Caenorhabditis elegans: one gene and its partner. The protein of the gene in region 2 purifies or fractionates together with the protein of the main gene of each other region. This does not show direct contact. Each region holds a gene or a part of one and is shown on either strand. Other genes may lie near its edges.

Region 1 (3,755 bases), 3.8 Mb from region 2:
TCCTAGAGCTTCGAAATTTTTTGTAGTTGTAGGAATTTTGAAAGTTAACAGGGTCGGGGTATAAAACTTGAAAATTGTTATGCCGCGTTGCGGTCGCGTCGCGGTTCTTCCACAAATTTTAAAGTGTCATAACTTGGTCCAATGTGCCCTAGAGACTTCAAATATTTTAGGCAAAATTTCTAATAACATTTTCAATTTTTTATTAAACAAACCGTATCATTATCCATCTTGTGCTCTTCTGGAGCAATTGCAAAGAATCGAGGAGACGCAAATCTCAAACTTTTCTGATCGAACCCGTTGACATTCTGCCCTCCGAGGCTTAAACCTAGCTTTACCGCTGGAAATTTCAGAACTATTAAAATTATTTCTAATTTAATACTCACCCTCCCTGATAAGCTTAATCCTGAGAACTGCTTCAGTCTCTTTTCCAGTCATATTTAGGAGCTCCGGTGGGTCATCTTTAAGGAGCTCTTCTGGATGCTCTTGAATCTTTTGAAAAAGCTCTTCCGCGCTGAGCTTTGGCGCTTCAACAATTTCATTGGTCACTTCAATTGGGTCATCGAAGGCTTCGTAGTCGGAGCTCTGGAAATTATACAGTTTTGTTTTTTTTTCCTGGAAAATTGTGAAATAGAGAGCCTGGGCTTGGATGAGTTTTGTGCAAAATTTTCAGATCAATATATAAGCTGCGAGCCAAGTTACAGGTCCTCAAAGTTTGGTGGCAAGCCGCGACGCAGCCGCGACGCGTGGGTCAAACTTTGAAGCTTAATAACTTGGGTACAAAAAACAAAGAAATCCGGAAAATTTTTGCACGGTTCAAGGAAGATGTAGAGAGCTTGCTGGTGACAAAGATTCCAAAAATTTGAAAAAAATTGAGTTTTATCGAAAATCTCAAAGTTTTATCATATAGTCGCATTTACAAAATTCGCCTGAAAAATCTACTACGCACAAATATCCTCCAAAAATTTCAGAGCATTAGGGCCACTGGGAGCCCAGTTACAAAGCCGCAAAGTTAGAAAGTGAACCGCGACGCGACCGCGTCGCACGTTCTAAACTTTAAAGCTCTATAACTTGGCTCACAGTGGTCTTAGAGCTCTGAAACTTTTTTCAGCATACAAGTTCAGTTGAGCTCAGTTTCTGTAAATAATTTGTAGTCACCCACCGCTAATGGTTTCCTTGAGCTCATCCGGAGCTCCTTCGGCTTTACGGATCTTGATCGCACACTTTTTCCGAGCATCTCCTTGACTTTCTTCCGCTTTTCAATAACGTCTCCTGTTTTCTTCACGTCAACCATAATTTGACGCCAACTGAAAAGCAGAAAATGTGAATTTTGTGTTATGGGGTGCGAAGCGGTCGCGTCGCGGTTTTCAACAACTAACATACAGGCTTACAGAGATTCACAATTTAAAGTTGCTGTAAAAATTTCAGAGCTGTAGCATCACTGGGAGCCAAGTTACACCACTTCAAAGTTAATACCGTGCTACGCGGTCGCGTCGCGGTTCCACCCCAGACTTTGAGGAGTCATAACTCGGCTCCTAGGTGTGCTAGAGGTCTGAAATTTTTTCAGGATCTTTATGTCCCTAAGTTCTATGCATTCAAAAAAAATTCTGGAATTCTGGAAACTTCCTGCAACTCACCCCCTCTCCTCCTTCTTGTTTTTTAGCGTCCTAATTGATTTTGTGATCTGCTTGCACACATTTCTCGTGAATACGCGTTTCTACTTGGGTTACTGAGGAGATTCTGGAAACAAAATGTATAATAGGTTTTTAAAAATTAATTTTAGATAAAATACTAAATTTTAAGTCTCTTCCAAAAAAGTTTGAGGCTCTAGGAGCACTGAGGGCCAAGTTTTCACGCTTCAAAGTTTTGGAGCTGCGGTGCGGTTGCGTCGCGGTCAAGGGAAACATTAACTATTTTATCACGACACGTAATATTTTGTGAAGCTACTATAAAAATTTCAAACCTTTAGGTTTACTATGAGTCAAGTTATGCAACTTCCAAGTTTGAGGAGTGCGTTGCGGTCGCGTCGCGGTCCAGATCCAAACTTTGAAGCTTCATAACTATGCTCAAAGTGGACCTAGAGCTCTCAAACTTTTTGAAGCAGCTTAAAAAAATATATGGTTATTCAGAATTGAATAAAGTTTAGGAATATAATCATCAACAAATTTACCACTCCGGAAACTGAAAAACAGTCAAAAATTTAATTTAAAAACTGATTTTTTTAAGGAAACCTCAATGTCACTAAACTACACAAAAAAATTTCGAAGCTGTAAGACACCTGGGAGCCAAGTTATGCAGCTTCAAAGTTTGAGTGGTGCGTTGCGGTCGCGTCGCGGCTCATACCTAAACTTTTAAACCCAATAACTTGGCTTATTTTGCTCCCAGGGTTCTGAAATTTTTGCCACTGTATCTTCACGTACCAGTGAATCTTTTGACTATTACAAAATGTATAATATTTGAAAACAAAAATAAAATTTGGCCCGTGCGCTGCGGTCGCGTCGCGGCTCAGACCCAAACTTCAAGTGCTCATAACTTGACTCCTACTGGGCCTGGAGCTCCCAAATTTTTGCTACGTGCTTCCATAAAAACCAACTCACTTTTCATTAGCTACCGTAGCCATCAACGCAGAGACCGCTTGCTCAATCCAGTGATTCGAAAGATCCAGAACCGAATCCTGTGTTGTATTTATCATAGGAGTACTGTCACCAAGTAGAGTTTTCAGGTGAGTGGAGGCTTCTGGGGAATCGCGAGCCGCCAGTGCCACGTGGAATAGTACCAGCAGAAAAAGAATCATCTGAAAAAGGAAGTGGAGGTCAAGTTGAGAATAAATACGAATGAAAAGTAATCAGTGAGGAAAGGGAGAGGAAAGGGGCTATTAACCTTTTTCGCAGAAAGAGGAAAGGCGTGGAAAAGTACATGAAAGTGAGTCATTACCGGTGTTCCGCTATCATTTCACTTTTGATCTTAGTGGGTTGGTGATGCGGAACTACAAAAAAAACATGTCTAACAGAAGTATAAGATTCCAAACAGCCTGCAAAAAAATTCAGAGCTCTAGGACCTTTGGGAGCCAAGTTATAGCGTTTCAAAGTTTGTGGGTGGACCGCGACGCGACCGCAACGCGGCGTGAAAATTTTAAAGCCGAATAACTTGGCTGTCAGTTATCATAGAGTTTAGAATCTGGATAATTAATTGTTACTACTACTACTATTTGTATTTTCGTTGAAAATAATTACTGAAAAAACAGTTTTGAGCCTGGAGCTTTGGAGCAGTTGGAGAGTTAAAAAATGTATTTTTACTAAGAGATCAAGATGGTATACGTAAACTCCAAAAATTTCAAATCTTTACGATTATTGCAAGCCAAGTTACGCAGCTTCAAAGTTGAGGCCGCGCGTAGCGGTCGCGTCGCGGCTGGCGAGAGAACTTTGGAAGCCCGTAACTTGGCTCAAAACGGGTCTACAGTGCTGAAAATTGTGGAGCAGTGAGAAAACATAATTGGTAATCGAAACTTAATATATGAATTGGAAATAAATAAATTTCAATTTTTGTCAAGTTCTGCAAAATTCATATTTCGAACTTTTAAATAATGATAATTGTAGAACAAAATGATTGCAGTGGACCACAAATGTTTCAACGTTTCCGGTCAAGAGGGAGCCAAGTTATACCCTTTTAAAGTTTCGAACGCGCGTTGCGGTAGCGTCGCGGCTAGCTGGATAACTCTGAAAGGTCGTAATTTGACTCACAGTGGGCCTTTAGAACTA
Region 2 (3,755 bases):
AAAAACAATTTTACAATTTTTAAAAATCGAAATTATGTGGTTTTTTTTTTCTCCATCAAAATATACAAAACTTGATTTTTTTCAATTTAAAAATCAATAATCACTTTTCTGATCTGCGTCCATCGGCTCTAATAGGCTGAAATCTTGTATTAAATGTACAAGAACTGTGTACTCCTAGAGGACAACCCAAATCATGAGGACATGGAGCCAATACTGTAGCTGTCGGAAGCATAGTTGGTACTGTATGTCCAGGTGGCACTGCTTCCATCAAAAGTGCATATTTCTCATAATCACTCAAATTGTAATCCTCAACGATGCGAACAACTTTCGGTGATAGCATCACAGCTTCTTCTAGTGATTTCAGCAATTTCCGATAATCCACCAGAGTTCCCTGTGTCAATAGAAAATCACGAGCCTCGAGAAGACCACCGAAAGCTCCGGTTTGACTGGATTCGATCAGGATTAAGAAGCGATTTGTTCGTTTCCATAGTGATTCGATCAACTGGAGACGAGTTTCTGAAGAGCCAATTTCACAGAGCACGCGGTGAGCTAGCACAACATCGTAGGTGGTCTGGAAATTCAAGTTAAGAAATATGATTTGACAAGAAATAAACTGTTAAAATTGCGAAAAAAATAATTTTTTTCGTTTTTGCAGACTGGGATGTCGATTTTTCGTTTCTCGTAGTTTAGGAAAACATTTTTTTTTTAATTTGCTTTTTTTGGAAAAAAAGTGAACGAAAGAGGGCAACGAGAAGCGAAAAATTCTGAAAAATTTTGCTTTTTCCAAAACAAAAGCTTTCATCCGTCATTGCTCAACTAGGGGTAGATTTTGAAAAAGAAACGTTTTTCAAAAAAAAAACTAAATTTGAAGATTATTAAAAGAGTGTATTTTTAATTGAAAAAAAAAATAAAATTTCTGCTTTAATCAAAGCGATTTTCTAATTAATTGAAAGTAATTATCACAAAATTTGCAAAATTTGTAAAATTCGCCAATTCGGTAGTCCGAAAATTTTCTACGTTTTTTGCACTTTTGCATTTTCTGAATTAATTTAAAATTATATTGATGTGCATACATTTAATGAAGGAATCAAATGTCGCCTGAAATTGACATTGTTGTGCACAAAAGGCCGCCCGTTTTGAGAAGCTTCACTGGACTGTTCGTTCTGGAAAAAAAAAACGTCATTATCTAAAAATAAATCTTCTAAAAGAATACCAACCCTCAAAGAATCCATCGAAAATTTCATCATAGCATCCGATAAATCCACCATTGTGATTTCCTTCACATCTGGCCATTTGTTCTGAATCGCCCAGAATCCAGCGCCAGCTCCACTTCCGAAATCCAGAACAGTTTCTGGTTGAAAATCGGGGATAGTATTGAATTCTTCAAGTGTTCTGGTGATTTCTGCATAGTTTGGGGCTAATCTTGCCAGAGAATAGGCAGCAGCAGATTCTTTTGTCGTGATTTCTAGAGGTTTCCAATTGAAATTTTCTTTTTTCATTATCCGATCCACTTCATTCCGTATTTCGTATTGTTGAGCTTCTTGCACTTTTCCACCGAACGATTCCTTATCGAAATCTGATATTTCATCCTTTTTTCCCGATTTCAACTTCCTTTTCACTTCATCTCTGAGCTTTTTCAGTTTTTCCGGAGATTCTGGAAACCTTCGTTGTTCGAGTTTCTTTGCCAGCTGATCTGCTTCATTTTGTAGTTGTTTTGCCGGTCTTTCACAAGTAATAATTGCATTTCTGAGCCCATCAATGGCTTTTTGTGGCAAATTGAATTCACGTCTGAAAAACCTCTTTAAATGTTTTGGAATTACTACTAAAACTCTCACCGAAATCGTTTCCCAACTTTCTCCTTTGATGTGATTTGCACAATTGATCGAGCATTGGTGAGCGCATTCACTGCAGTGATGGCGGTTTTCTCGTTGTTCTGAAAAATACGCGAAAATCTCAATTTTAAGTGATTTTATATTATTTTTTCGTTTACCTCAAATTCTCGTGGCTCGAATGCTGATGATGTGGCAAAATTTGCAATAAAATGTCGAAGAAATAGTCTATTTTGAAGCATTTTAAGTGAAAATTTGTGAAAATAAAATAAATTAATTTTGTGCAACGACGCTCCGAAATAACGCACAATTTTGTTGGCGGTATTTCAAATCGGAATTTTTCATCAATTTTTTTTCTGAGTATGAGAAATGATACTAAATATCTATTTTTCGATTTCAATTGAATTGAGATGGTGAAGTTTACTTTTTTGAATAATAACTCATTTTTTATTCTGAAATGTGGAATTTGCTCAGCCAGTGTACTCCCCGAGGGAAGTATTTTACAGTTTCGAATGATCCGCTGAAATGCTTGGTTTTTGGAAGATTTCAAATTGACAAATTAAATATCGTTAATTTTTGAAACTTCAAGCATGATGAAAGCTTCTAAAAACTAGTTTTCAGCTTTTTTTTAACGCTAAAAGCATATAGGTTTCATCTTAAATGTCATATAAAAATTAGAGTTAAATTAACGATTTAATTGCTAAGTTTTTGAGTTGATTCAAAACCAATCAGTCAAGACAAAACTGTTTTAAAACTCATATTTTTCTCGAGAAGTACACGAGCTGCGTAAATCGACAGACGGCTGTGGTCATACGGCAGCTCAACTTGCAGCCAAAAAACCAGCTCATATGTTTTGAAAATTGAAGAAAAAAAGCAACCAAACTATTTATACTTTATTATTAAAGCTAAAATACGCTGAGAATGTTTTTAAACAGTTTTATTCAATTTTGCAAAAAAAAAAACAGATGACAAAAAAGAAAACTGCTTCTTCCAAAATTGAACGTTCTCCAAAAAATCGACCAACGGAAACTACATTTATAACGGCCCATACTCTGTCACGGTCATGTTCGGATTGTGCGGTTTGGTCATCACCACGTAGATGACGAATCCAGAGAACGAGATACAGGCGGCTGTCATGATGGTGAGACCGACTATGACCTTCATGGGAAGAACAATTCGTCTATACGGATTGACAGTTGGTTGTGCAGTATTCGGGGCTTCTGGAGCAATCGAGTTGGCGCCGATTCGGCGTGGCATGTGGAAAATAAGATTTGAATTGAGAAATTAAAGAAGAATACAAGAAGTGTCACGATATAGTTGTAAGGAACATTCAGCTTACTACGAGGCATAAAAATGCCTACCTGCTTGCCTACAAGTCTTGAAGATGCCCTAATAACACTTTAAAGGCGCACATTATTAGCATAACTAGATGTCAGGTCGCTCATGGAAATCCGAAAAGGGAGAAGAAGAAGAAGAAGAAAAACGTGTGATCTATCAAAATATGTCGAAATGAAGAATTCTGGTTATCAAAATAGCATTTTATACTCGTTATGATTGCAATCATCCCCTCGGGTCTTAACGTGTGATATGTTTAATTAAAATTTGGATGAAGAATTAGTCGGATTCGAAAAATGAGTAAACAATGAGATCACAACATCGAAAATCAAATATGCAAAGTTCAGCAAGTACAGAAGTCGTTTTTAGAAAAATTCTTCAGTGTATATTAATAAGCTTGTACTGACAAATAGTAGTCTTCATGACGAACTATTCTTTAGTCTTGGATAAAGATAGAACGCAATTAGTCCTGGTAGTGGTCATGATAGTTTCCAGAACCTGAAGTTCAGAGCCCTGCAAGTTGGAAACATGGTTCCCAATTCTGATCTCGGCTTAATTGCACTTAATTGCACAAACGCACGTTTCAAGAAT

The links.
Region 1: the proteins of metl-17 (region 2) and mltn-2 fractionate together in Caenorhabditis elegans (co-fractionation; one large-scale study listed by BioGRID). This does not show direct contact.

Annotation. Positions count from the first base shown.
Region 1 is NC_003279.8:11,022,863-11,026,617, forward strand, and holds the start of mltn-2 (MLt-TeN (mlt-10) related), read right to left. Parts: upstream 1,732-3,755; 5' UTR 1,635-1,731; intron 1,305-1,634; 5' UTR 1,292-1,304; coding exon 1,160-1,291; intron 583-1,159; coding exon 384-582; intron 338-383; coding exon 213-337; intron 1-212.
Region 2 is NC_003279.8:14,838,248-14,842,002, reverse strand, and holds the start of metl-17 (Methyltransferase-like protein 17, mitochondrial), read right to left. Parts: upstream 2,072-3,755; coding exon 1,991-2,071; intron 1,934-1,990; coding exon 1,836-1,933; intron 1,789-1,835; coding exon 1,218-1,788; intron 1,164-1,217; coding exon 1,074-1,163; intron 572-1,073; coding exon 105-571; intron 1-104. Other genes in the region: F32A7.8 (uncharacterized protein), read right to left, coding at 2,865-3,086.